Regions from separate parts of the Mus musculus genome. Here all the other regions are reported to be linked to region 4. Evidence: microRNA targets listed by miRTarBase, many of them from high-throughput screens and not tested one by one. Region 4 holds a microRNA gene; each other region holds the end of a gene's coding sequence.
The links. The annotated mature microRNA mmu-miR-149-5p reads UCUGGCUCCGUGUCUUCACUCCC and lies in region 4 at 1,301-1,323, shown strand. An mRNA with a match to its seed (bases 2 to 7 or 8) in the 3' UTR can be bound and repressed. Matches are read on the target gene's strand: a 7mer-m8 pairs with bases 2 to 8, a 7mer-A1 pairs with bases 2 to 7 and ends in A, and an 8mer does both.

Region 1: the mRNA of Polr3f is a reported target of mmu-miR-149-5p. Seed matches in the 3' UTR shown: 7mer-A1 at 1,194-1,200, 7mer-A1 at 2,240-2,246 and 7mer-A1 at 3,357-3,363.
Region 2: the mRNA of Zfp280d is a reported target of mmu-miR-149-5p. The part of its 3' UTR that is shown has no 7-base or 8-base seed match.
Region 3: miRTarBase lists Cbx5 as a target of mmu-miR-149-5p. Seed matches in the 3' UTR shown: 8mer at 1,868-1,875, 7mer-A1 at 2,301-2,307, 7mer-A1 at 2,835-2,841 and 7mer-A1 at 3,568-3,574.
Region 5: the mRNA of Vat1 is a reported target of mmu-miR-149-5p. Seed matches in the 3' UTR shown: 7mer-A1 at 2,698-2,704.
Region 6: the mRNA of Ttyh3 is a reported target of mmu-miR-149-5p. Seed matches in the 3' UTR shown: 7mer-m8 at 1,505-1,511, 7mer-m8 at 1,537-1,543, 7mer-m8 at 2,741-2,747 and 7mer-m8 at 3,127-3,133.
Region 7: miRTarBase lists Atp2a2 as a target of mmu-miR-149-5p. Seed matches in the 3' UTR shown: 7mer-m8 at 3,115-3,121.

What each region holds. Positions count from the first base shown.
Region 1 is chr2:144,538,240-144,542,304 of GRCm38, forward strand. It overlaps Polr3f (polymerase (RNA) III (DNA directed) polypeptide F), which reads left to right. Exons shown (of 9, transcript NM_029763.3): 9 at 373-3,540. The coding sequence ends at 450. It overlaps Rbbp9 (retinoblastoma binding protein 9, serine hydrolase), which reads right to left. Exons shown (of 5, transcript NM_015754.2): 5 at 4,026-4,065. Among named protein-coding and RNA genes, the nearest start is that of Rbbp9, 11 kb to the right of the region's middle.
Region 2 is chr9:72,361,932-72,365,996 of GRCm38, reverse strand. It overlaps Zfp280d (zinc finger protein 280D), which reads right to left. Exons shown (of 22, transcript NM_146224.5): 22 at 2,226-4,063. The coding sequence ends at 3,490. Among named protein-coding and RNA genes, the nearest start is that of Gm27230, 26 kb to the left of the region's middle.
Region 3 is chr15:103,195,852-103,199,909 of GRCm38, reverse strand. Cbx5 (chromobox 5) reads left to right here. Exons shown (of 5, transcript NM_001076789.2): 5 at 119-4,058. The coding sequence ends at 269. Among named protein-coding and RNA genes, the nearest start is that of Smug1, 35 kb to the right of the region's middle.
Region 4 is chr1:92,849,081-92,853,145 of GRCm38, forward strand. Mir149 (microRNA 149) reads left to right here and starts at 1,298; the gene lies at 1,298-1,363. The region is part of intron 1 of Gpc1 (glypican 1); the gene reads left to right.
Region 5 is chr11:101,456,496-101,460,560 of GRCm38, forward strand. Vat1 (vesicle amine transport 1) reads right to left here. Exons shown (of 6, transcript NM_012037.2): 5 at 3,882-4,065; 6 at 2,253-3,781. The coding sequence ends at 3,698. It overlaps Ifi35 (interferon-induced protein 35), which reads left to right. Exons shown (of 7, transcript NM_027320.4): 2 at 71-169; 3 at 695-842; 4 at 921-1,027; 5 at 1,125-1,311; 6 at 1,396-1,502; 7 at 1,706-2,206. The coding sequence ends at 1,897. Among named protein-coding and RNA genes, the nearest start is that of Vat1, 7.7 kb to the right of the region's middle.
Region 6 is chr5:140,619,856-140,623,920 of GRCm38, reverse strand. Ttyh3 (tweety family member 3) reads left to right here. Exons shown (of 14, transcript NM_175274.5): 14 at 390-3,344. The coding sequence ends at 464. Among named protein-coding and RNA genes, the nearest start is that of Lfng, 15 kb to the right of the region's middle.
Region 7 is chr5:122,453,727-122,457,791 of GRCm38, forward strand. It overlaps Atp2a2 (ATPase, Ca++ transporting, cardiac muscle, slow twitch 2), which reads right to left. Exons shown (of 20, transcript NM_001110140.3): 19 at 3,786-3,903; 20 at 2,598-3,700. The coding sequence ends at 3,425. Among named protein-coding and RNA genes, the nearest start is that of Anapc7, 33 kb to the left of the region's middle.

The DNA.
Region 1 (4,065 bases), not on the chromosome of region 4:
GTGTTAATATGCCTCCAAGCCAGGCAGGGAGGTGTATACCTTAGTCCCAGCATTTGGGAGGCAGAGGCAGTTGGATCTCTGAGTTTGAAGCCTGCCTTTTCTACATAGTGAATTCCATGACAGCCAGGATTACATAGTGAGACCCTGTCTTAAAAAGCAAAAACCAAGAGAACCAAGCAAACCAAAATATAAAAGCTTATAGTTAACCATGACCACAAAGTAGGCACTGTTACAGTATGCTCTTCAGTCCTTATCTGTTTCAAAGAATATTTTCTTTCTTTTTTTTCTTCATTTACTATTGCTTTAAATCAGTGGGGATCTGATATTTTAAAACTTGAATTTGAATAGACTTTTTATTTTTATTTTTTAAAGGTTTTTGAGGACTGCCATGAAGGTGGTGAGATTTCGCCGTCTAATTGTATTTACATGACAGAGTGGCTTGAATTTTAATGAGAGCTGTGCACTTTATCTACATTTGGCAAACTGAACTCCATGGAGAACAAACAATTCATGATGGAGTGTAAATTTCTTTGAAAGCATACTTCACAATAATGGATACTGACTTGCTGCTATGAAAACATTTATTTATGAAGACAGAACACAAAGCAGATTGAGTTTAATAAAGTTTAATTGGGAAGTCTCTTCTTCAGTAAGTAAAATACCTTGAAGGTCTGGAAGGCAAGGAAAAGAAGCCAGCAAGCCTATGTTGACCAAGTACTGAGATAAAGGCTGGAACGAGAAGATGTTCACTAGAGTTGCTTCATTGAAAACTCATCGGGGTTATTACCACCATTTGTTTGGTTGTTTTTGGGTTTTGTTGAGAAGAAATTACAAGTGGTGCAGACAGGAACAGCTGATGGCATGTGTGCCATCTTGGGGCCTGGGTAGTCAAGTGGGCATTCCTTTTTCATGCCATCTGTTGCTCTTCACCCCAGGACTCTTTCAGGGGAGTGTGCCTCCATACCGACCTCACTCCCAAATGCTGTTGTACAGGACGTGTTTCCACATCACTGTTATTCCATGCTAAAAGAAATAGTCTCACTGTTCCTTTTTTGTTAAGGCTATCACTTTTCTCTGTATGCCTTAATTGTATTATTTCCTGGGTTTTTTTCCAGATTCTCATTCCATGCCTGTAGTGTGACTCTCTCTACCACTAGTGCCAAATTCAAATTTTACAGTCTAAATTCCAGGACAGCCAGAGCTATATAGGGAGAGACCCAGTCTCACACATACAAATAAAAATAGAACATTGCCCTTCATTCAGTCTCTGAGGGTTGGTAACCAGTATTTAGCTGGTGCCCTTTTCTCTTATTCTTCAAAACACTGGTATGACATGTCTGAGCAGAAAGCCATCACTGTGTACTTTCTCAGTCCTGGCTGTTCGGCCCTGGAAAACATTAATTGGCGTGCTGTTGTACAGAAGGTAGCCTCTGAAGGATCTCAGCTCGTGGATTGTCTCTTTCTAAAGATTTATTTATCTGTAAGTACACTGTAGTTGTCTTCAGACACTCCAGAAGAGGGCGTCTGATTTCATTACAGATGGTTGCAAGCCACCATGTGGTTGCTGGGATTTGAACTTGGGACCTTCAGAAGAGCAGTCAGTGCTCTTAATCCCTGAGCCACCTCACCAGCACTCCCCTCCCCTTTTTGTTTTGAGACAGGGTTTCTCTATGTAGCTCTGACTGTCCTAGAACTCTGTAGACCAAACTCAGGGATCTGCCTGCCTCTACTGCCCAAGGACTATGATTAAAGATGCGATACCCGCACCTGGCTCTTTTTTCCATTTTTATCTCTCTTACATATTTAATTTTCTAGTAAGGTAAGACTAGTGCTTATTTGATAGGTCAGGCAGATCGGACATTGTTACCATGCCGCACCTCACAAGAGGTGGAGGGAAAAAAAACCCTGTGTTTTATATATAATCTAACACTTAAAATAGCTGGTGTCATTGAATGCTTACTCTTATAGAGCTGGCCATAGACTTCATCTGATAAAAGTGAACTAGTGAGTTTGATTTTACTCAGGTAACTAATGATGCTATTCACTTAGAGCACTGTCAGAAGGTGGTAGAACTCAGCTCCACAGAGGATCCCAGTGCAAACCCTTTAAGTTGGTCCATGCTTTTGGCTTATATAAAAAACTTAGTACGATCAAACAACCTTAGACACGAAGTAAGCTGAGTATAGTGGAAAGCCTTTAATCCCAGTACCCAGGAGGCAGAGGCAGGCAGATCTAGGACAGCCAGAGCTACATAAAGAAACCCTATCTTGAGGAACCAAATAACAATAAAAGAGAGAAGTTATCTTCTAGCCAGCCTGGTCTACAGAGTGAGTTCCAGGACAGCCAGGGCTACACAGAAAAACCCTGTCTCGAAAAAAAAGAAAAAAGTTGTTTTGGAAATCTGCTCCGCATTCTGTTTTGTTGTTAGAGATAAGAGCATCACTCCACACTGGCCTGGAATAAACTTGATGGCCCAGGCTGGCATTGAACTCAGTTATTCTGCTTTAGCTTTCCAAGTGCTGGGATTCCAGGCACGCATTTAGCAGCCGGGCCTGGCTTTGCATTGTCTTGATAATTAGATGAGTTTTTAAATCAGCACTCAGTGGTTAGAAATGTTCCTTGCCTCACCAGAATAAAGAGAGCTTAGATATTTTTCCTCAGCATTATTTTTTACTCTGAGTATTTTTGCCTTGTAATGTATTTTTTTACTGTATTAACTGAGAAGGATAGAGAAGTCTGAAAATGTAGCAACTGTTCTGTAAATAAAGTGGGAATAAGCTATCAAAAGAAATTGTGGGCCTCTAAAATCATAATGTCACAAAATCAAATTGCAGATGAAGCCCAGATTCTTCATACTCTCCCACTTAGTACTAGGCCTTTTGTTCACCTGAGCACACATACTACTAATCTGTTGAGGACCCCGTTTAAAAGTGATCCATAAAGAAGGGAGACATGAGGTGATTTAGTGGTTCTTAATGTGGATTCTCACATTAAACTTTGAATTTGGCAATAAATAAGTTTTAAATAAGGGTTTTGGTGGTAATTAAGCAAAGTAGTCATATCAATTCTGTGATGGACAGTGATCGAATACTCCTCGTACGATGAGGCCTCTGGCCCAACCATCAACCCAACAGTTAAGGGGGGAAAAGTAGTTTCAGATTTACTATCTGGTAGGTGAGAGATGAATACAAAATATGCGCCCTCTAGCAGTATGATCCAGTAAGACAGCATCTTGAACAGAATCCTGCCTCTATGTTGCTCCTGCAGGGTTTATAGGTATGTGCCACATCTGGACAAATAGCATTTTCTATCATGATGGAAATAGTCTTTATTTGGTGTTTAGTCCAGTAACCTTCAGCCAGATGGCTGGCCAGCACTTGACACAAATGATTAAGAGCTAAGTTTTTATTTAGTTGCCTGTGCATACTGTTTATATTAGACGGCACAGCTCAACAGAGAGCTCTCTTGCATACTCTCCCCCTGGGAATTATTGAAACTCACACTGAAATGTGTTAGTTTATAATTAAGATTTTTAACGTTAGGAAAAAAAAATAAGTGTTTTCATTGTGTGTGTGTGTGTATGTGTATGTAACAGGCTTTTTAGCGGTGATTCAGTCAAGCCTACAATCCAATTTGAGTCTACTTGAATTTGAAATTAGTAATTATTTACTCTGCTCTTTTGAATTCTTAAATTAACATACAAATGTTTGCTATTTGTTTTCTGCAGGATAAAATATATTCATTTGATATATATAACTTTCTGTTTCTGGTATTATTCATTCCCATGTGAACACTTAGAGTACACCTATATATATGTTTGTCGTCCTATCCTCCAAATATACTTATGTTAAAAGTTAAAGTCATCCCTGACTTTAGAAATCCCCAAATCATTTTAGGCTAACACAACAGCTTTGTACCCCTTCTAGGATAAAAGTGTGGGGGATCACATTTCTGCATCTGTCACGGGTTCTGAGTCATCAAGTTTAAGTACACTAGAGATCTTTGGCACCACAGCAGTCAGAAGATACTAGGAAATAAACATTTTTTATTATATCTTTTTACATT
Region 2 (4,065 bases), not on the chromosome of region 4:
GTGAAGGCTTGATGTCCCAGTGTAGAGGAATGCTAGGGCAGTAAGGTGGGAGTGGGTGGGTGAGAACCCTCAAAGCAGGGTAAGGGGGATGGGATAGGAAGTTTGCTGAGGGGAAACAGGATATTTGAAATGTAAACAAATAAAATATCCAATTAAAAATATATACTTTTTATAAAGTAAAAAAAAAAAGAAATCTTTGATTCCATATGTATAACTACTGTGAAATGATAAATGAAACTGTACTTACTCACCAATAAGAGTTATCTGACAAAAAGCTTTTTTCTTTCTTTTTTTTTTTCGAGACAGGGTTTCTCTGTGTAGCCCTGGCTGTCCTAGAACTCACTCTGTAGACTAGGCTGGCCTCAAACTCAGAAATCCGCCTGCCTCTGCTTCCCAAGTGCTGGGATTAGGGGTGTGCACCACCACCGCCTGGTTGACAAAAAGCTTTTTCATAAGAGAATATTTAGTGCTAGAAATTGTAATTGTAGGTGTAGTAGAAACGCCAGCTTCAGAACAAAGCCAAGTTAGGCTCGAGTCCTGGCATTGTATCCTATGCAGTGACTGGTGGGTATTGTTTTCTTCACTTTTGTGTGTACAGCCAAGGTGTGTGTGTGTGGCGTGCGCACACACACACACACACATTTATATATATATTCAGGGTTTTTTTTTTGATAATGTTTAGGATAATTCTTTAAATATTCATGGGATGAGAATTGGAGAGATGGCTCAGCAAGAAGAGGGCTTGCTGTATAAGCCTGGTGACCTGAGTTTACCCCAGGAACCCACATAAAGGTAGAGAATTTATTCCAGAGTTTTCCCCTGACTTCCACATACCCCCTACCACATGCACACACCTCCAGTCCTACATCACACACACAATTTTTTTTTTAAAATTCATAGGATGAAAAAACCTTACAAGGTCTTCCTTAAAACATTGAAAGGATGCAAAAGAGAATGACCTAAGGAAAAAAGTATTCAGTTTTAATATAAATTAAAAAGAAAACCCCACAAAGCAGTATGATGCTTTTTTTTTTTTTTTTAATTTTTTTTGGTTTTTCGAGACAGGGTTTCTCTGTGTAGCCCTGGCTGTCCTGGAACTCACTTTGTAGACCAGGCTGGCCTCGAACTCAGAAATCTGCCTACCTCTGCATCCCCAGTGCTGGGATTAAAGGTGTGCACCACCACGCCCGGCCAGTATGATGCTTCTTAATGTCTTTAAAGTGTTGTACCTGCAAGGCACCTTGTATGTTCAAGTGACATTAAGGTCACTTGAGTACATCCTAGCCTTTACCCAAACTCAAAGTAGGTATATGTAACCCTATGGCCCCCATGTACCCAGCATGCTGCTTTGTAAATAGTTACACAAACAGCCTCAGTAGTTACATATTCCCCACCGCTGTTTTCATGCTACAAACCACATAGACCTCAGTTTCACTGCGGACATGCTTGCTTCTAGACTGCTCACTACTATTCAAAGGCTGATTTTGTATCTGAATTTGTATCTGAATTGTTAGTTCCCGACTACTCAGGAGGAAGTATGAGGACTTCCTCATAGCAGAAGAAGGTACAGCACGTAAGCTGCTAAGCACAAGGCTTCTTTCATTGTCCTCTATCCCCTACTACTTCATTTTCTGGGTGAACAGCTAAGAGTCCAACACCAGCTCCTTCTCACACAGGGCACTCATCAGTGACTTTGAATATGGCTATTGGGTAGAGATGAAACTCTACAAAGCTCAAGGAATTAGATGCTTTGGAGACTTATTTTGATCTAAGGGTTTTGTACACGAATTTTATAGTATAGAAAAACAGGTTTGACAAGAAACTGAATGCTATTAAGTGGTCCTCATATAGGTGAACTATTTTCTATGCCTGGGCTCGAAAGTTTTATAATATTGCAAATTACTTTCCTGTGGTGGATTTGTGTTACAACTTGTATTGGAAGCAGGAAAGATGAAAAAAAACCAGCTCTCTTTAAATGTTCAAGAAAACAATTATGTGTTTTTCCTACTCAACCTCTTTAAATTGATAAGGAAAATAAATGTACAATACTATTCTTTCTCTTAATGTGAAAGAATTACTGTGTAAGTATTAGCAGTGTGTCCCTTGTGTTTTCAGTTCAGTCTGTTAGTAAAGCACACAGAATGGAGCTTATAGTGTACAAGAACTACTGCCTACAATGCACACGACAGCAACAAAGACAGGCTAGCCAAACAGGAATCTGAATATAAAATTATTCAAAGACAGGTTTTTATTGCAAATATCTGCTCAAAAACTACTATATACAACAGAATTTTAACAGGCCTTGAAAACGTTTAACATTCAATTAGACAGTTTAAGAATTCAAAGTACATCTTAAGAATTAAAAATGCAGCATTTAAAATAAAATTTTATTAGTACTTAAAATGAAATTGTTTGTTATATTCATTTCTATATCTAAAAATCAACTTAATAGCTGATAAATTAGGCTAATTTCCACAAACTTTTTTTTTTTTGTTTTTAAACATATGCTTTAGGGTCCCATTTGAAGTTTCAACTTTTACAATTAAGGAAGTCCCTTAACATAGTTGAGTACATGCGGAGGCATGTTTTTAGGTCAATTCTTTTTGCCTACATTCTACCATACTTTGGTTTGGTTTCCAGACCATTTTTATGGGTCTATTGCTAAAAATCATTGAAATAATATTAAAAGCATAGTAGCTATTTAAGAGCTTCAATAACAGATTTCTACTTTATACAACTAGTTCATGGGGGCTGAGGTGGGGTTCTGCACAGCTTATACACTGACTAAAAGCACAAATATAAACTTATATTTTCATAATTTCACTTTCACTGAAAGTTTAATAAAGGTAAGCTGACAGCCTGGCAGGCTAACACTTGTATGGAGGTGCACAGATTCTAAAATTCTGTTTGCATGCTTCTGACAGATTGGAATGTTATATTAAATCCAAACTTAATTTTTATATTCATCCAAGTTCTCAACAGGCCAATTTAGCACTCTAAGCATGCTTTATCACCAGGATCATAGTAAAAACAAAGTCTTCATTAACAGTAACAGTTGATAGGCAGTTTAAAGGTATTTTTAAAAAATGCATGGTTTTAAATCTCTTCCTTTAAGTTTACTAAAAGAAATATTCAGGTGATGAGGACTTTTAGTACTAATGAAAGTTGGAAAAGTCTGATGAACATAGCAATTAGTATTATAATAATTTCATATTGGTAAACAAGATTTTATCAAAAAGTGCTAAGAGACCTTTGGATGACAAACTTAGTTTTCACTAAAGTTCTATTCAGGTTTTTTTAAATGTGGAAATTCATACTAACCATGCTATTACTGGTAAACTGATTTAATAAGATTGAACACACAGGTGAAGTGTATGACAGACCTCCTCAGATCTCCCTCGGCTGCCCTTTACCACGGCACTCCTGAGCTCACCAGACACTATTGTTCTAAGTGCTGTTGGGAATGAAACTTGAAATGACTATGTCACTTCAGCTTCTTTCCTCTCCATCTGCCAGGTCTACTGCTGTCTCTGCTCTACAAGGGTTACTTCCTCCAGGACTGCCACCTGTTTGATCAGATACCGTGTCACTGGTGTTAGCTGAAGGATCATCACCGTCGTGGAGGATCTCTGTGGCTTCATACTCAAGTACTTCTGATGGCGTCAAAGGTTCCAAACGAACACTGCCTGGGTCACTAGCATCAGAATTCACAGATTTAGGTTCATCTCCTTGCCTCAGAAATTGATCAATGCCAACATCCCCTGATGTTAACTGCAAACCTTGACGAGTCTCTGAAGACAGTTCAGCTTCAGTGGGATTTGTGCTTTCTGAACTCTGGTCCACCTTCAGCTCCATTTCCTGACAAGCATGATGTGTTTTTTCTTCCTTTTCCATAGTATCTGTTCCAACATCTGGATCATGACTCAAGATGTTCTTTGAGCTGCTTACATTTTCTGTATCTGAAACCGTTACATCTTTTTCACAGTGTGTTGCTGCTGCAGCTTCACATACACTTGCATCACACCCAGTGCCTTCTTCTGATGAAGGAACTTTATCCTGCTTACT
Region 3 (4,058 bases), not on the chromosome of region 4:
ACCTCCAGCCCTGTAAAGACCCTTTCTACTTTGAGATCGAACCAGCTAACCTCAGACAGTGACACTGACAGATTGCCTCAGTTTCATGTCTCCTAAGTCTTACACCCTTTCTTTCCAGGAAAGACACAGATGAAGCTGACCTGGTTCTTGCAAAAGAAGCTAACGTGAAGTGTCCACAGATTGTGATAGCATTTTATGAAGAGAGACTGACGTGGCACGCATATCCAGAGGATGCGGAAAACAAAGAAAAAGAAAGCGCGAAGAGCTAAAGGAGGAGGCAGTCTCTGTCGTTTCTCTTTGTATATAATACCTTTACTTTCCTGCCTCCTCTCTCTCCTCCCACCCCTTTCCATCCTAAACGCATCCATAAACCACTGCGCTCATCACTGTGCTCCACGGGGGAGATGCTGGTATTGGTTCTCCTGTAATATAACTGATGATCTGATTCCTAAGTGTAGCTCTGTGAACGTCAGGCATTACGTCATTCACATGCTGTGTGGTTCCCATAGTGTTCTCTTTCACCCTGATCTTTTCCTTCTGTTCCCCTGTAACTTTTTAATCACCTTAGAGTCATGATCTTTGGGGTTGGTTGCTTTGGGAGATTTTATTATGACGATGACTTCAGTTTCTTGATTGTTATTAGATTATATTGATGACCAGCTGGCCTTTGTTTTGACATACTGGCATAGAAAGGATATTGTCCATCTATTTAGAAAACTATTAAGGGCAACCTACCTGTTGTGTCTTTTCCGATCTCATTTAGCTCTGCCAGGAGAATACAGGGTCCCTGGTGTGGTCTTGGGCCGCTCCTGACTATCCTCACATACCCTCCCATAACAATTCAGTTCTCTTAGGGCTTGAAACTTCACATTTAAATCTGTCAAGGCGCTCTGTTTAGCCCTCACACTTTCTTGGCCTTGTTACTTTCAATCCCTGATTCTGCTTCTGTAAAGTGGTATCAATTTGTTATTAAATGACAAGATTAACTGTGGAGTCTGTAAGCTGTAGTGCAGGAAGATAATAGGATGGGGCTGGATACAGTTATCACGTGGTGTGTGTGTATTCTTTCCTTTATCCCTCATATTTAGACTGTATTTATGTAGGTGTGAGTGATTGCCTGGTGCTTGCTTGTGCCAAGGTGCTGGGCACCCTCTAACCCTGCCAATTTTTATGGCCTCCCAAAGCATTCCTGTACCAAAGAGGCATCAGCAGATCCATGCCATTCCCTTCCGTGCCATTATTTTAAGTTGGGAATTTTTGGAGAGGAGCCACTAGCCACAGTGTCACTGGCTTTTACGTCCTTGCAGCAGTGATGCTCTTTAATTTACTGCCTCATGGCTTGTGGATTTGCCACCAAGTCCTCAGAGGATTAATGTTCCTGTCCTCTCCACTTGAGTCTGAGGATTTTTAGTTGTAGCTTATTTTAAAAACATAGAAGATTATGGCCTCAGAAACCGACAGGTCTTGATATTAACTTTTTGACACAACCTTCTCTCACAACAAACTACTTCCTTTTTGGTTTACTCTTGCTTTGCTATTATTTCTGCTCCTATTCTACTTTTTGTCCCCTGAAAAATGCCCATCTTCTCTTCATTTCTTTCTTCTTGTATAGTTGAGGAAGCTGGAGAATCAGGACTAAAAGTAAGGAAATAACAGAGTTTGGAGCTGAGCAGTCTTGTCCCAGCTCCAACGCTGAGGAAAAAGAATAAACGCTGAAGTAGCCTTAATTCCAGACTTCGTCAGCTACTGAGCTGCTTTTGTTGTTGCGTTTGATTTTTTTAAAGCAAAGCTGTCTGGGCCAGAGCATCTAGCCACCGGGTTGTTGATAGTAATGAGAGGAATGGATGGAGTGCTTCAGTCCACAGATGAGCCAGATAATATGCAAACCCTAGACCCATTCACAGCATTTGTTAACACTGCTTTCCTGCTCAGCTGCTACTTGAGTTCTGTGTTCTTGAATAAATTATGCCAACAATTATACTGCACCGTTGAGAAGGCAGCTTGTACTGCAGTGACATGGTAGACAGACAGTGAAGCTTTGCCTTACTTAAGTCAGCCAGGAACAACTTGTGAATGGTAATGTGGTGGGAGAATAGCACCTAACCCATACCTCACATGGGTGAGCTTTTTCTCTCTGTAGTCCGTAGTTGTCTGAAGATGTTAGAGGCAATATCAAATGCTGGATAAGTGACCGATGTCTGTACTTAACTTGATGAAATGAAGGATGGTTAGAGAGCAGATCTGTCCTTCAGGCAACCAAGGCTAGTAGTAATTAGGGCAGATGAAAATAGCACAGAAGTAGCCAGAGCTCCTGAGGATCTTGACTGGCAACTAGAGGAAAGGACCACCCACTGAGTAGTCAGGAGTAGTGGGCATGTACATTGCAGTGACCATATTTTTTAAAGCAAAATCTTAGCCTTTGGGCAACCATAACAATGATATTTAGTCCTATATAATATAAACCATAATAATGAGATTAGTCCTAAGAAGTCTGGCCTGGTGACAAAAAAGTACACAGTCCCAGACTGATACAGGGGTACTGTATGTTCAAGGCCTGTTTGGGAACTTAGTGAGACCCTGACTCAAGATAAAAAATAAAAGGACCGAGGATACAGTCTGAGAGTTAATGCCTTGTAATGCAAAAAATGAAGGGAAAAAGTGTCCTGCTGGTTTTAATGCTCTTTGTAATTTTTTTCTCTTAAAAGTTCATGGAGTATTGGTTTTCTGTTAACTATTACCAAAACATCCTTGTTTTCTTCTTAGTACTTTTCCTGGTTATATATAGAAATAGGGAACCGGGATTCTAGTATTATCTTCAACACTCAGTGTAAAGAAGCCAGACACCCATCTGTGCCTCCAGCATGTGTTGTGCCAAGTAGCTTGTTTCTGCTGGAGAATTGCAGCCTTGGACAGAAGTGTTTCCTAGAGCTATCTTCCCTCTAAAGAGTTCACAACCAAAGGTGAAATACTCCTAAACACTTGACTATATTCTCCTGTGTTAATCCTCTTTCAAAACTAATTTTGTGGTACTGGGACTTGAGCTTAGACATGCCAGGCAAGTGCTGTGCCACTGAACTGATGTCTTTTTCTGCCCCTTCCCCGCCATACACCATTTTATTGTTGTTCTAAAGACTTAGTCTCTGATACCAGGCTAGCCTCAACTTGCTGTATAGACAAGTTGAAAAGAATTTTTTTTTTCATCTGTAGCAGTCTTCAGACATACCAGAAGAGGGCATTGAATCTCATTACAGATGGTTGTGAGCCACCATGTGGTTTCTGGGAATTGAACTGGGGGCCTTTAGAAGAGCAGTCAATGCTCTTAACTGCTGTGCCATCTCTCCAGCCCTGCCAAGCTGAATTCTTGATCTCTTGCCTCTATCTCCCAGTCTCTAGGATTGTAAGTGTTTGTCACCATATCTGGCTCCTTCTTTTGTAGAGACTGGACCTTCAAAATTACCTATGTTAGCCAGGTATAGTGTAATACACCTTTAATTACAGCATCTAGGAGGCAGAAGTAGACCAATCTTAATTAGAGGCCAGTCTGGTCTATATAGTGAGTTCTAGGCCAGCCAGACCAGTATAGATTCTGTTGCGAAAGGAAAAAAAGAAAAGATTGGCCTTGAACTTAGGATCTGTTTGTATCAGTTTTGTGCCACTATACCTGGCTCAAAATCTTTTTTTTTTTAATTAAGTTATTGTGTATATGGGATTTCTGCCTGCATGTATATCTGTGCACCATATGCATGCCTGGTTCCCTAGGAGACCAGAAGAGGGTCTTATATCCTCTGGGATAGGAGTGAGCTGCTATGTGAGTATTGAGAATCAAATCCTGGTCCTCTGGAAGAGTGGGTGCCACCTCCCACCCTTCAAAACATCTTTTTAATGTTGAATTTTTTTCTTTTTTTTCTCCCCCGCCCCGCCCCCCTTTTCTGTTTAATCCTGGCTGTTTCTTGCCGGCTTCACCCTTTAATGCTCAAGTTTTGCTAGCTTTACACGAAAGCAGAGGTGAACTGGGTGATCCATCAACATTATACACTGTGCTGTTCACATTTCTACCA
Region 4 (4,065 bases):
TTCGGGTGTGACCCCCGGGGACTAGACAGGTTTGTTGGGGAACAGGAGCAAGCAATGGGAAAATGCCCCTGGAGCCTGGGCAGTGAGTAGTCCCCCAGAAAGCTGGGCCATTTGCTCCAGGCTGTCACGTCCTGGAGACTCTCAGCCTCTGGGGCTGGAAAACCCAGGAGCACAGAGGGCTGGTTTACTTCTAACCTACCAGTCAACAGAAAGGCCTGCTCTAGGAGCCAGCAGCTGGGGAGGGGAGTGTAGCCTGTGCCTCTCCCTTATCTGCGGTGCTGAGAGATTATACTCCGAATGCCCCTACACTCCCCCAAGCCGTGCCAGCTGGAGTGTTTTAGGGGCCGTGAGGGAAGTGGGCTTTCCACTCTGCATCTCCCCCGTGAGCACAGGAAGCTTCTAGAAGAATGGACCAGAGGCGGGGTAGCATGACTCTGCATTATCTTCAGAAGGTGGAGGGTTTCAAGGCATTGGGTCCCTGAAGTGTCAGGGGAGGTCAGGTCAGAGATGTCTGTGGGTAGCATCAGGATGCTGGACTCTGCTAAAGTCCTGGGGTGACTGTGGATGATGACCAAGAGGGATGCTGCCTCTGTGAGGGAGGAGCAGGAGCTGGAGCTGTCAGCAGGTGGCAGGAGGGTGTGACCCTGAAAGGTAGGAAGCCACAAGCTGCTGTCTGCTCTGGAGAATAGTGGGGGGCCGGGGGTGGGGTGCAAGCAGCCAGATTTGGGAGGAGGTAAATGAGCAGTTGCTGCCCATGGGTTTGCTGCAATGGGGTGCCATGCTAAGTGTCACAAGAAGCAGGGGTCTTGGAATTTGAGAGGCTTTGGGGTTGGGGACAAGGCTTAGAAAAGGGACTAAAGTGGGGAAAACCTGCCATTAACAAACAACCCCCTTCCCCAAATAAAACCTGTGAGTGCCAGGGGAGGGTAGTGCCCCCCAAAAACCCAGGAGGGAAAGATCTGGAAAAATGAAACCAACTCTGAGAGAGATGGGCGGGGTCAGTGGGGAACAATACTGCCGCTCCACTCCCACCCACCTTCAGGGCTGGCAAGGAGGAAGCTGCTGGTAGGGTAGAACGGAGAGACGTTCCTACGATGGGTATGTACTCCAGTGCTTTCCTGGAAGTGTAGAGAGCTTTGCAGAGCCTGCCTTAGCTGTTCTGATGTTGAGCACCTATGGTTCCAGTTGGGCTGGGTCTCAGCTCCTCTATCTTTGACCCTCAGCAAGCAGGTCTGCCAATGCATGGGCTTCTGGGCAGCCTGACCCAGCCTGCCCGGGGCCCTCAGGCCAGTGCCCAGGCTCTGGCTCCGTGTCTTCACTCCCGTGTTTGTCCGAGGAGGGAGGGAGGGACGGGGGCGGTGCTGGGGCAACTGGAACAGCGCAGGTCACCGGGCTGGCTGGGTGAGGTGGCCAGGCAGAGCCAGGGGGCTGCAGGGGAGGCCATTGGATGGGGTATGCTCATAGTAGCTGGCCAAAAGTCTCATGGGTCCCATTTATCCAGAACCTGCCGTGGAGTGGGGCGAGTTTCTGTTTCTGAGTGTGTGTCCTTAATTAACTTCTTCCTGTTTCAGCTTCGTTCTTCTGTCTATGTGGTGAGGGGTGGCAATTGGGACCACTAAGATGGAGAAGGATGTCAGAGGAGCAGAAACCATGGGAGGGGCCAGTAAGGCTGTGCCCACCTCTCTCTTGCCAGTGCTCTGTTGTGCAGCCTGGTCCTCAATATTTCCACCTAAAACCTTTGGCCTACACACACAGAGTGCCTCTGTCCCAGCTGAGCCCAGGATGGCCCCATCCTGATACCTGCAGCCTCCATCCCCATAGCTGTTTCCCCACTCACTGCTGAAGTCAGAGATGGGTCATCCTCTACAGTGCCCCCCATGATTCCTCCTCTAACAGAAAAACCCTTAAACCCCACCACTCAAAGAGAGAGATGTGGCATATCACCTCAGCCCAGCAGACCATGGCCCGGAGCAGAGCAAATAGAAGGCCCTGCTGGGCCCTGTACCTTGTTGTGCCTGTAGCCTGCTTGCGGGTGGATAATCTCTGCTTAGCCCTCCCTACTCTAGAAGGAAGGGAATCAATCAATGGATGCAGATCAAGTGGCAGGACCTAGGCTTGCAGCTCCCAGCTGTCTGGGCACCAACCCAGCCCTTTCTTGAGGTTGGGTGCTTAATAACATGTTGCTTCCCAGGACCTGCAGTCCCTGTGAAAGGCAGGTGCCCTGGGCAGGAGGAAGCAGTGTGGTAGGAGCAGAGGGTACCAGGTAGGGGAGTGGTGGGAGGGGCATTCCGTGTGCACCTCCCATCTCTGACTCCCTTTTCTCTTGACTCCCCCAAGCACCCTTGAATCAGAATACAATTCCTTCTGTTCTTCTACCAGCTGTCAGCCACTGCCCTGCTCTGTGGACCTTTGGGGACCCTGAAACCAGGTGGGACTCAGCCTGTGAGGCCAAAAGTCCCCAGGGTTCTGGGATGAAGCACAGCTCCCATGCCTTAGTAAGCAGGAGAAGGGCTAGGCCAGGCCCTCAACCTGAGACCTGGAAGAGCAGATCTGAAGGTTGCCCTACCTAGGGATGGAGGGGTGGCATCTGGGGATATATACCTTCCATGTCAGGTCAAAATCACAGAGGCTGTACACAGTTCCACTCTGCAATATGCACACACACACACACACACACACACACACACACACACACACCATCCAGCACACATAAATGCTTGTGCTTACTAAGTGCTAAAGACAAGGATGTGATCATGTAACAAGCTCTTAAGGGTGAATGCAACCTCAGAATCTCTCCTTAGTCAGAGATCTCCACTCCCAGTTGGCTTCAGGGGAGGGGGGTTCATAGAAATGGGGCCTAACACATAATGGCCTCATCCTGAGGTCACAGGTTCCTGCCCCCACATGCTTCTTGACAAGATGTCCACTCCCCTCTGGCTCAGTCCCCCACCTCTGATGGCAGCCTGCAGTATCACATCCTGGAGTTCTTCACATCCCACCTTTCCCATCAACCCGTCAGCAAGGATAAAGCCCAGGTACCAGCCCTGGCACCTACTCTGGGCTCTGGAAACTCTGCATTTCACTGGCTCCCCATAACATCAAAATCAGCATTCCTGCACGAGGGAAGCTTCTAGAATCCCTGCTGACCGCTCCCTCTTCTCAGACCTTTCACCTAAGGCTGGGCCACTGCCTCTGCCTTTTTGATCCACCCAGTCCCTTGTAGGGACTGTAGGGCTCTGTCTTTAGGCTCAGAGACAGCAGTGTGACCCTATGAGAAGGGAGTAGAACAGAGTGGGGTCAGGCATAGGCCCAGTCCTGAGTAGCTCAGCCCCCAACTGGGACAAAAGCCAGTCTCCAAGCCTCAGATTCCCTGTAAATTGGTGTCACTATAGCCTTAGCAGAAGGTTTCCTCTCCCATTGAGGTTTTCTTCTGATGCCAGGAGACTCTCAGGTGTGTGCTGTAAGGGCTCCATGGTAGACACTTTGAGGCCAATTGTAGGCCCAAAGCAACCCTCTGTCAGCAAGTGGCAGTTGATATTGTCCTGAATGGTACTGCTGCAGTGCCACCAAGGGCTGACAGGTCAGCTCACCAGCCCAGGATAGATGGCGGGGGAGGGAGTTTCAGCCAGAACACTATGGGGACTGGGAATGTGTCCAGCTAGTGGGAACCTCAGGCCAGGGTTGAGTGGCCTCTGTTTGGGACCCAGTGCCTGCGCAGAGCATGCTTTTCTTCACCCCAGAATGGTACCCAGGGCCCTTGCAGAATGCTGACACAGGCCCTGCAGAACATTCATGGGGCACTCCACTCTGCTGTCAGTCAGGTGGCCTCTGAGACTGGCCTGAGCTAAGAAGAGGCTGGATTTCTTCTTCCTCCCCCGGGCAGAGGCACCTGCCAGGCTCGAAAGCCTCTATCAGGTCCCCAACCTAAGTCGGGCAGCCTCTCCCTCTATGTGAGGGCTGAGCTGGCTCTCAGGGAGCCCTGCTAGGACTCTCATTGCATTCCTGAGATGCTGGACTATGTCACACAGTACTCGTAGTCTGAGGCTCAGCCCTCTGATAACTATG
Region 5 (4,065 bases), not on the chromosome of region 4:
AGCCCAGCCCCCGCTCCCTCCTCCAGGTTCTAGAAAGGCTGATGGTTATCTTCTTATTCTGCTCCAACAGGTCCTCTACAGTCTTCAGGAGGAGCAAGCCAGGCTCAAGATGAGGCTGCAGGAGCTGCAGCAGCTCAAAAGGGAGCGCACAGGCTCTCCCGGAGCCAAGGTCAGGTGGGAACTGAGGTGTTCCTGGTGGTAGAAAGGGATTGAAGAGATGGCTCAGTGGTGAACACTTTACAGCTCTGGCAGAGGACATAGGTTCAATTCCTGGCCCCTACATGGGGCAGCTCATAACTACCTGTAACTCTAGTTGCAGGAGAAACAACACCCTCTCCTGGCCTGGACGGGTACCTGGAGATACACACACACACATGCACACGCACATGGATATATTTAATTACTTATTTTCTTGCTATGTGAGCTCAAGAACATTGTTTGATCTCTTTGCTCTCAGTTTTCTCATCTGTGAGGTGAAGTTACCTACCTCCCAGGCTTGCATGAGGACGAGAGCTTGTATGAAAACTGGCTGGTGTGTCGTGCCTGTACCCACACAATCCAGCTCTTCTATGAAGGCTTTCTGCACTGCACATCAATCAAACAGAATCAGGGGACACATTCTGCCCAGAAGGGAGTGGTAGGGACCTCTCCTACTTCTCAAGGTTGTTACGTACCTTCCTCTCCCAACCTCCAGATCCCATTCTCAGTACCTGAAGTTCCTCTGGTATTCCAAGGCCAAACTAAGCAGGGCAGGCAAGTGCCCAAGTTTGTAGTTTCTAACTTGAAGGTCTGCTGCCCTCTGCCTGAAGGTTCTGCTCTGGTCACCTTTGAGGACCCCAAAGGTTAGCCTTGGTGTGTGGGGAGGCTCCGAGGGGAGGCCATAAGGTTTCCTAATAGTGACCCTGTCTCTCCACCCACAGTGGTTGATCGGTTGCTACAACAAAAGGAACACAGAGTTAACTTAGAGGACTGCCGGCTGCGGGTGCAGGTCCAGCCCTTGGAGCTGCCTGTGGTGACCAACATTCAGGTGACAGAGTGGCAGGGTCCTCCATGCAACAGGTGGGATTCAGCATTTGGGTCCTATGGATGAGTGGGTCAGCTGAGCCTGCCCTGTCTCCTGCTAGGTGTCCAGCCAGCCAGATAACCACAGGGTGCTCGTTAGTGGTTTTCCTGCTGGACTTAGGCTGAGTGAAGAGGAACTGTTGGACAAGCTGGAGATCTTCTTTGGCAAGGCCAAGAATGGAGGTGGGGATGTAGAGACCCGGGAGATGCTGCAAGGGACCGTCATGCTAGGGTTTGCTGATGAAGAAGGTAAGGGTCCTACAGAAGAGGTAGGGGGCCAGGGTGCACGAGACTCGAGAAGCCTTCAAGGCCACCCTTCCCTGTCTCTCACAGTGGCCCAGCACTTATGCCAGATTGGCCAGTTCAGAGTCCCACTGGACCGGCAGCAGGTCCTCCTGAGGGTCTCTCCCTATGTGAGTGGTGAGATCCAGAAAGCCGAGGTACGTGAAGGTGGGGCTGGGGAAGCGTCTCCTTGTCGGGGAGAGCTCAGGGCCCCCCAGCCTCTCCAGCCTACACAGGAGCCTGAGCTTCCAGACCCATCCCATGTTTTTTGTGGGATGGTCCTTGTTCCAGCCTCTGCTCGCCACTGCCCTGCATTCCCATGAACCCTTGCAATTCATTCATTTCCTGTCTCTTTTTCTAGATCAAATTCCAGCAAGCCCCTCATTCAGTGCTGGTGACAAATATTCCTGATGTCATGGATGCCCAGGAACTGCATGACATCCTTGAGATCCACTTCCAGAAGCCCACTCGTGGGGGCGGGGAGGTGGAGGCCCTGACAGTTGTGCCTTCAGGGCAGCAGGGCCTGGCTATCTTCACTTCCGAGTCAAGCTAGGCCTGCATGTCCACCTGCTGGGGACTAGGATCACTTACTGCCTAATGCTACCAAGAACGGTCAAAGTGCCAACCTGGTGTGATGGTCTTCTTTACTTCAAGATAGCTGAGAGAGAGGGCAGAACGCAGACCTTGACACTGGCTTTCCCATGGCTCGCTCGTGCACGCGCGCGCTCTCTCTCTCTCTTTCATTTGAGACTAGATTTCTCTGTATATTCCAGACGTTCCCTCTGTAGACCAGGCTGGCCTGTAACTCCAAGCTGCCTGTCTCTGCCTCCAACTGCTGAGATTAAAGGTGCGCATCACTACCACCCATTCTCCAGCAACTCTCAGATACAACATCTGGTCAGGACTCAGGGTTTGGCTTTTTATTGACACAGACACAAAGGCAGCTGTGGTAATGGGGTGGGGTGGGGATGGGACACAAAAGCAGAAATCACACTTCCCACATGGAGGCCTCAATTTGACAACAGAGAGGCCGGGTCCCTCCCTCCACACTCCCTCTGACAGTGGCTGGAGTTAAGAGCTTTCTCTAATCCAAGCTCAGAAGCAGCAGGTGACCCCCACCTAGCCTCAAAGGTCCCCACCTTGGCTCCAGTAGCCCTGACTCTTTTAACCAGCCTAGTTATTCCCTTGCCGGAGCTCCTCCTTCCCTAGCAGTGTAAACAAAGTTTGGGGCTGAACAGCAGAGCTGCCTCCAGGCTCTGGGAAGGCAGCAGCCTCCCTACATAGCAAAGGAAAGAAATGTGCTTGAATTCTCACTTTGGTCCCAGAATAAGACCCAGCGTTGTCTCCCAGAACTCTGGCTGATCCAGCTCACTGCCTTTCTTCTCCACTGACAGAGACAGGACAGGCCACAGACCACAGTAAAAGCAATTGGTCCCCAGAGGCTGGAGCTGTCCCCTACCCCCAGACCCCCGACCCCTGGCACATACACAGATTTTTGGCAGTGTTGGACTGGGGAGGAGTAGGCCTCAGCTCCACCAGGACGAGGAAGGCACTGGGGAGAAGGGTGGAAAAGGAGCCAGAGATAGGGGCTGCCCCTACACATACACACACATATACAAGCACAGGTTTTCAGATGCTAAGGCACTGAGACAAATCCAAAGGCCTCAGTGAAGGGTGGGGTACCCAGTACCCCTCCCAGAGCGTAAGCTAGGGAGTCGGTCTGATTCCTGTCCTTGCTGTAGGAGGCAGCAAACTCAAGCCGGAAGAAGTCTAATTGTGCTTACGACATTGGGGACAGGAGACAAGGTTGAATACTGATCAAGTCCAGGGGTGGGCCTCGTCGGCCTGGGCTGCGGGGATACTACGGGGGACACAGGTACATGCTGGACTCACACAGATCGGCCCCACGTCCTGAGCTGACGCATAGATTCTTTGGGTGGGGGTGGGGCAGGAGGGAGGATGAGGCTGAGGTGGAAGCACACAGGATAGGGCAGGGAGGGATTGGCTAACCTTGGCACAAAAGCAGCATGGTAGGCCCAGGGAGAGGGGGGAGGGCAGGAAGCAGCCAGCCTCCTGCTGACCCCCCCTGTCCCCTTGGCAGGGCCCAGACATCCAAGTGGTCACTTCCCAACCTCTCCTGAGGGCAGGAAGGGGTGGGGGGGAGGGAGAGCCCTGAGCGAAGGGCAAGAGCGAGCTCAGAGCAGGGAAGCAGTCATCAGCAGAGACCTTCTCTGGGGGAGGGAGGGAGGGTAGAGCATCGTGACAGGATGAAATGTGAGAGGCTGGTGGGCAACACGACAGGACTTCCCATCTTCTCCCTCCCCGGCTCTCCAGGGCCCTCAGCCCTCTGGCCCTAGGTCTCCTTCTCAGGCCCAGGAACCAGGAGGACTTTGCCTATGTTCTTCTTCTCCTGCATCTGTTTCATTGCATCTGCCACCTGGAGAGAAAGAGAAGACCGTCCCTGATGCTGTCCGCCCCACTTACAGAGCCCGGCTAAAGACGACAGGAACCATCTGCCCCTGGGTCCTCAAGCTCACCTTCTCGAAGGGCCAGACTGAGTCAATTCGAGGTTTGATGTGGCCCTGATTGTACAGAGCCACGAGGCGGGTGACCACGCTATTGACGAGTTCCACCTCTCCATCCAGGTAGCCCAGGTGGAAGCCACACACAGCTCGGTTGGCCTGCAGCAGCTGCAGAGCTGTCACACTGAACTGATTCCAC
Region 6 (4,065 bases), not on the chromosome of region 4:
CTTCCTGTGCTCAGCGTGTGTGATGCATTCAGAGCCTTTGAGCTGAATTACTGGAGGTGGCAAAGATCTGACTGGGACTCTGAAAGTGATTTAGCGACAGAAGGGGACTGGGTGTCCTTCACTGGGAAGGGAACTTGCCTGGGTGATCCAGCCTCAGCTACAGAGGCTGACCTTTGTACTCTAGGTACCATCACTTCCCTAACCTGTACTCAGCCCTTGGTCCAGCCCTGGGCCAGTGGCCTCTTACCTTAGGATTCCGCCAACCATGCTCTCCCCAAGGGTCGGCTGTGGCTCACCCTACCAAGGACCACATCAAAGAGGCTGCTGGCTGCTCAGCCCCCACCTAGGAACTCACCTGACCCTGCTCCCTCCTTCCCTCTCTCCTCTAGTACACCTCCAGCATGAGAGCCAAATACCTCGCCACGAGCCAGCCTCGCCCCGACTCCAGCGGCAGCGGGCACTAGACCGCACACCGGCCAGCCATCTGCCCCCACGTGCCAATGCCCCACCCTTCCTATGCCAGCACCGCTGCTTCCGCCCTGCTGGACCTTCCACAAGCCACACCGGGCCAGCCCTAGGCACACCTGAAGGCCCCCCCGCTATACCCACCCTGCAGGAGGCATGGAGGTGCCCAGCATGAGCTCCGGGCCAGCCTGTGAAGTGAGGCTTCTGGGGTGCTCACCTGGACAGTCGCTGCCACCAGCAACCTGACCCTGCCTGCCTCCGTCTCCCCTGCCCTTCTGTCCTCTTGGGCTCCCTGAGCCCTGCTCTGTGCCGGGTGCTTCCACCCTGCCTGCGTTCCTTCTACAGGTGACCCTTCATGCTGCCCCTTGCACTCTGGGCGTCCCCCTCCCCACAGCTACAGCGAGCCTTTCCTGGTACTGCCCTACCGCCACACTCCTGAGAATCCCATCTCCATTCACAGGCAGGGGACCCTGTGCCTGGCGCCCACCTGCTCATCACCGAACGGCCCCTTCATACTCTCTGGTCTTTGCAACGTCCGGCGCCTGCCTTCCCTTAGCCACCTGGCTTACTTGGCTCTTCCTGTTGGTTCTGAGCTGCCTCTAGGGTGGGGCTCTTCTTACACCTCCTCCCCACATGACTCTTCCCTCAGTGCCCAGCCAGCCCTCCCCAGACAGCAGGTGCCAAGCTGAGCCCAGGTCACTCCCTGGCCTCTCAGTGCTGGCCACCTTCTTGGTGCCAAACCCTCTTTCCCATTCATTCCTGAAGAGTGGCAGCTTTGTCTTCCCCTTTGTTTTTGCACTGACCACACTTGTCATCTCCAGGGCAGTCTGGGACATAGGCGACGCAGGACACTGCCCACTTTCCTCTCGGTTTCATTCTCACCCAGGACAAGCGGCAGTGCCCTCTGGAGCCCAGCCTTGGGGGCTGGACCTGTGACGGCTGTGAATGTGCCCCCAGCCTCAGAAGGCCCCCCCCACCCCCCGCTGGGACTAACCACTAACCTCACTCTCAGCTGCCATGGGCACTCCTGGCTGACCCTGAGCCAGCAAGCGTGACCCTAAGTCTAGCCTGGAGCCAGGGCTAGAGTGGTCATTTCTTTGTGGGGTGCTGCCAGGGAGGGGCCAGACCCACAGGCTACTCAAAGGGCCTAGAGACCCCTCCCCAGGCAGGTGCTGCCCCAGGAGGAGCATGTCCTGGGGTCCGGGGACTGAAGTCCATGTGGCCTCAGCCCCCCACACCCAGAACACCGCTTGCCTAAGGTGCTTTTGGCTTTAGTGTGTGATGTTTGCTGTGCTTCTGGGCTGAATTAGCTTCCAAATCAGGACCTGGAGCCTCTACCCTGGCCCAGCCAGCCAGTGTGAGCTCTGGTCTGTGAGATGGGCAGCTACGGGCCAGTGGAGCAGCATGTGGTGGGAGGGGCAAGGCTGGGACCCAGTGGTTTACAGACCTGTGGCCCTCCTGGAGCAACCTGGCAGCTACGGATCCCAGAACCCCCTGGGCTTCAGCTCCCCCAGAGGGGAGAGGCTCCACGTTGCTTTCCTTCCCCAAAATCCCTTTCTTTGTGCTGGTGTCTGGGACCAAAAGGAGTGGGCAGAGGACTCGGAGGGCCTAGGGGTCCCAGTCGGGGCATCTGTAGCTCCTAAGCACGACAACATCAGTGCAGGGGACCCTGGCCTTGACTCCAACTGGCCTGGCGCCAGGAACCTCCAGGGCCAGAGCAGCCCAGCTGCAGCCAGCCTGCCCACTATGGGTATGTTCCTGGCCTAAGGTCCGGAGGGAGGTTTGGGGTATCCCTGCCTGGGTGCCTGGGTGTGCCCTGGGGCCTCTCAGAAGCACAAATGCTGCCCCCTGGCCGTGAGCAGGCCACAAGGTGAATGTATATAGCATGAGAGGCGGGCACTGCCCGGACGTGGCTGTGAACTTGTGCTGTCTCGGGAGTCCTGACCTTCTGTGCGTGAGTGCCCCCATCTGTGACGTTTCACTCACCGAGGCTGAAGAAAGGAAGCAGGGGAAATGAAAGCAGGGGTTTCTCGCCCTGACCCCTGCGGAGGAGACGGCTCCTACCACTGCGGTTGGCTTCATTTCGTTTTCCTGATTTCTGGGGTGCCACTTACCTACTCAATCCCAGTGGTCCACCCCCACATCCCCAGGGAGTGAGCAGTCCAGTGCCAGCTGCCTGTGATTGGTCCCCAGTCCCTATTACCCAAGGGGACCCTACAGCTCTGGTGGGTAACAAGGAGGGCTAAGCCACCAAACCAGAGCCCGATCCCTTGCCGAGCCAGGAGGAGGGATCTGGCTGAGAAAACTGATAGGACTGGAGGCCCCCACCCCAACCAACACTCTCTGGTTTATGTGAGTAGCAGAAGATCCCGGCCTGGAGCATCCTTCAAGCCCTTCTCCCTGTGCCCACCCCGCCCCCCCCCCCCCCCATATCACTATGCAATTCTTGACCCCAGCTCCAAAGCTTGCCCTACCCGGTCCCAGCTCTGTCCGGCCCAGAAGGTGGCTAGCTGGTGGGCCACAGGTGACCAGGGTCTCTTTGTTTTTCATCACAGCGGTGGTGTGCCGCACCCTTCCTCCCATATGTGATTTTGTGAGATTGCCTCCCAGTTACGGTCCCTCTGCCTGCATCTGCCCCCAGTGGACTATGTCATCTGAATCGAGCCAGCCCCAAGTTCCCCTCCAGCCTCTGTAGGGCCATGGCTGTGTGTTACTGTTGCTGTGCTTTCATTTTTTAAACTGGGTTTGGGGTTTGATTTTTATTTCTGTGGGGAACTTTATTTTTCTTGGCAAATAACTAAAGTTCTTGTCCATGTAATTTCTGTGGTCTCTATTCAGCTTGGGTTTCATGTTTTAAAATAAACAATTTTAAGAAACAGCTCTCTCTCTCTCTCTCTCTCTCTCTCTCTCTCTCTCTCTCTCTCTCTCTCTCTCATTCTCATCATGAACACTGTACACAGAGTAGCTCAGGCTAGGGACACAGGGTTGCTGAATGAGGTCTGTGGGAGCAATTGGCTGGGAAGGAGCCGTAGAGTGACACTATCTAGTATTCATTTCGACTGAATTGCTCTAGCTGCTGAGTCAGGAAGGGATGAAGGACGTATAGAAGCCAAGGACCAATCAGAAAGCTCTGTACTAAAGCATGGCTCCAGGGAGGGGCTGGGGCTGTGGCTCAGTGGTAGAGCCCCTGAGTGGTAGAGCCCTGCCTAGAATTCCCCAGGGAGGCTCTGGAGGCGTGGCTAAGTGGGAGAGCCCCTGCCTAGAATCCCCCAGTGATGGGCTAGAGTGTGGCTCAGTGGTCCTACCTAGAGGCCCCCAGTGAGGGAGCTGTATGTGAAAGCTGAAACAAGGTTCAAGGGAGGCGAGGGTCCAGCAGGAGGCACTGGTCCCCCCATCAGGAGAGTACTTGCCAGTCTGAATCCACAATGCCCAGAGGTTTATGTTGAGGAGGAAAGTGGATGGTAGTTCTGCTGAGAATGCTTGTGCTGGCACCTGCGGCTTGAGCCACACTGATAGGCAGCCCGAGACAGCACATGAGCCTTCTACTTGACTCCCTTATTGCATAAATCAGACATTAGAAGGCCAGGGATGTATTCAGGA
Region 7 (4,065 bases), not on the chromosome of region 4:
AATAAGTTACAATAATACAGTGTGGAACAGCTGGCTGCACACCTAAACAACTGAAGTTAGGACTGGAGGCCTATGTTGTAACCATTCAGCAGCTGTAGTGTTTTAAATGAATTTATAAATAAGCAAACTGTACAGGGCCCATTAGAAAGCATGTTTCAATGTCACTGTAGAGCAATCTGGCCACTTACAACTGAAGGCATGCATTACAATTATCATACAGTTAGAGAGGCTATGACATTTTGCAGAGAAATGTGGAGACTTGGCTGATGGCTTCTGTTCTTGGATAAGGTTTCAGAACCTCCTTCTCGCAGCAAAGAAACCAACTTCTCTGGAGAGGCTCTCTGATTTGTTATGCTAAATTGTACATTTGTTATTATTTTGATTGAACAGCTAAAACCCCACTGGTAATACACATTTCCTCCACATCACACAGTGAGTTGGGGACTGTTTCTATTTTTCTTTTCCCCAACCTCAGTCATGCAGAGGGCTGGTAGATGTGTTGCTAACAACGCACATGCACGCACCCGAACACCCTTATATTTCTGCAAATGGTTTAGGAAGCGGTTACTCCAGTATTGCTGAAAAGGAAAGAGAGAGGAAATCAGCTTTTCGAAACGTAGAGCAATGTTAAGACACAACAACAGGGACAGACAGAAAGAACACTGCATTTGGTCTAGATGCAAAACCAGCATTTCTGACGGAGTGTTCCAAGTGCTTGCTGCCCAGGCACATCTAGAAGCAGTGGCTTGGTGACTGCCCTGGGCCGCCTCCTACCAAAGTTCCAGGAGGCAGAAACTAGAAGGCATGTCAGGTACAGGGCTGAGAGCCATGCAGAGGGTGAGGCAGGTGGAGCAGTGAGTGGCATGGCACCAGGGGAGAGGCCTTCCTGTCCCTCCCTGTTCTCTATGGCAGCCAGTCCTGGGCTACAGGCTCAGCTCTGCTTTGAAGGTTTCCCAATTGCAGGGGTCAGTCCTAATGGAGTTTGGCAGCTCACGACAAAGGGCAACCATGCTTTTTGGCTCTGCGGCTCTGCAGGCACCGAGCCAATGCTGCCATCTTAGATGTTCCTGAGGCCTGTGCCATTGTTGGGGCTGAGACCCTATTTTGAGGGTGCTGTGATAGCAGCTGCTGTGAGATGGCTAGCCTTCTCCAGCCTTAGTAGCCCTGCTAGCTCTCCGGGGAGGCCACCACCTGAATTTTGCTGAGTGGGCTGCAGGGTGGAACCTTTAGACAGCTTTGCTGAAGAGGCCATTCCGGGAAAGTTCAAGGCTGGGGTCCAGGCTAGACTGCCCTAGTGGGTTGAGCATGATGCTGACACAATAAATGCTGTCCCTTCTTGAGGGTGCTGGGTGAGAGCAGGGCTGAGGACATGCAGGAGGTGGCCTGTGGCTGGGACTGTGCTGTTGGCCTTGGTCTATGCGGGCCAGGGGAAGGTTTTGTCAGCCTTGCTTGTGGCTGGATGGGTCAAGTGTTAGTCTATCTGTTGGGGTTGAACAGGTCCCAGTAAGCAACACAGCACTCAGGGATGAGGTCCATTTCCTTTAGGGCCCACTCATTCGTAAACGGCACTGAACAGCATGGTGTTAGGGCCCAGCACGCTATCATTCTGATTTGGTCTTTAACTCAGCTGTACCTTTGTGTTTGGCCCACTCCATCAAAACCTGCCTGCTTCCTGAGAATCACTGCTCCCTGTAGCACACAGAGGCCTCCCCAAGGAAGGGTCAGTGCCAGGTTCCCTCAGAACCTGGCACTTTCTCCTGCAACTTAGGGAGGAGGTCGCAGTCTCCAGGCCTCTGCACACCAGAGGGTTGAGACATGTCCTGAAGGGTGACAAAAGCTGCCTATGCGGAGTCAGCTGGCTTTCCTAGTCTTCCTCAGCCACTGAAAACCCATAGCCTTGTGACATGGTTTGTGTCCAGTCTCAGTTTGGTACTAGAGGTGACACAGCTCCTTCAGCCTGAAGTCAGCCAGGTCCCAAGGCTCTCCTTCCCACAGCTCATAGGGATCGCTGTCCTGGTCAGTGTCTACACTAGGGTAGCCTGTGTAGTGAGTGGCTGCCTGGTGGACACAGGAGCCATGCAGCTCACTAGCAACAGGGGCCAGCTCATCAGTGGCACCACCTGTACACAGGCCACAGCACCCCAGTCCCACAGGGAAGATACTCACGTTAGTTGATGGATGTTGGAAGGCATTGGAGGAAAACACCACAGTTAGGACTGTTAATGACTCACACTGCCGTTAAGACTGACCTTGAACATGCGCAAACGTTCATCAGTCATGGTGGTGGTGGTTAGTGCCATAGTCAAATAAAAATATTTCTATACAATATGTTCATTTGGTCATGTGCTATTTACAGATTTTACAAAACATACACACACATAAACACACACTTGCCCTTACACCAACCTACATACAACGGGCCAGCAGAAACTTGAGTAATGTATATCACATGACAGATCGTGCCTATACATTATAAATAAAATCCTACTATGCGGCAGAACAGGACTCTTCTCAGAACAGGAAACTAAGGCTCTAAGCTGAGAAGCTCAGAAATTTGAACTGATTATACGTAATTCAAGGCCATTAAGAACAAGACAGTTATTTTTCTCTGTCCATTTAAAATGTTTTATTTTTCTTTTAAACTAGATTGTGAAGTGCCATTGAATAGGCAATGTTGGCAAAACAATGTCTGTTACAATAAAATACATTAGACATTTAAATAAATAACCTTAAAAACTAGGCGAAGGGACAGAAACCCAGTCGATTGGATCTGGAGCAATGTTTTCTGCACAAGCGAGACAGGCAAACCTCTCGTGAAGACGGATGTAAACAGAACCATCAGACCTACAGAAGAAGCCGAGCAGGCTGGGGTGGGCTGGGGGTGACAGAGGCTGAGGGTGCAGGAAGTGGCAAACCAAAAATACTGACTGAGGTAGCAGGACTCTGCTCAGTGCAGAAAAATTGGCTTATGAATAAAAATTAGACTGTGATACCAAATTAAATCCAGAGAATCATGCAAAAGACACAATACATGCTATTTAGTTTTTTTTCTTTTAAAAACCACACACATTCATTTCCTAAGTCTGCTGCCAATTAATTTGCTGACAATGTCTGCTGGCTCAACTATCTTTGTACAAGTATGAGTATTAAACAGAACACTGTACATGCTTTTTCATCTACAAAAAAATATCTGCATAAAATAGTGTTAGTTCTCTGTACACGTCAATGGACACTTTAATTATGTGTATAAAAAAAGGAAAATCTTGTCCCACTGGAGTCAGAAAAAGCAAAACAAAATCTAGATATGAAACCTCCTTCACCAGCCAATATGTTCATGTGAAAATTCAGCAGAAATAGACAGTTGCTTTAAACAATAAAAAATTAATTGATTAAGTTAAACATCTTCTGTATGTAGCGCTGTCAGTCAAGACCAGAACATATCGCTAAAGTTAGTGTCTGTGCTGTAGACCCAGACCACCAGGGGCATAATGAGCAGCACAAACGGCCAGGAAATGCCATCGGTGCATGCCGACAGGGAGCAGGAAGATTTGGTGGCAGGCTGCACACACTCTTTACCGGGTTGTTCCAGGTAGTTTCGGGCCACAAACTTGAGCGTCTCATCCATGAGGATCACAGGCAAGGAGATTTTCAGCACCATCAGCCACTGGGTCAGATTCAGCGGTGTGATCTGGAAAATGAGCTGAGACAAACAAGGCTGGGTCAAGCTTCTGGCCCTGCCTGAAAGGAACTACCCCAGACCCCGCCCGGGGTCCATCATGACTCACCGGCAAAGGTTCCACGTAGAGGATCAAGAAGTGAAGTGACATGGACAAGCAGATGGAGCCCACGAGCCAGATATTCTCCCAGGGGGGCATCCTCAGCAAAGACTGGTTTTCAGACAAGCTACAGGTGAGAAGAGAAGTGACCTCACCAGAGGCAAAGGCATGCGTCAGTGACACACAAGCAGGCAAGGGTTTAGTGATGCTACTGCCTGCTGACCTAACTAACTCTAAAGGCCTGCTTTCCCCAGTGCGGGGAGCTGGAGGCTTTGGTGCAGCAGGCCCA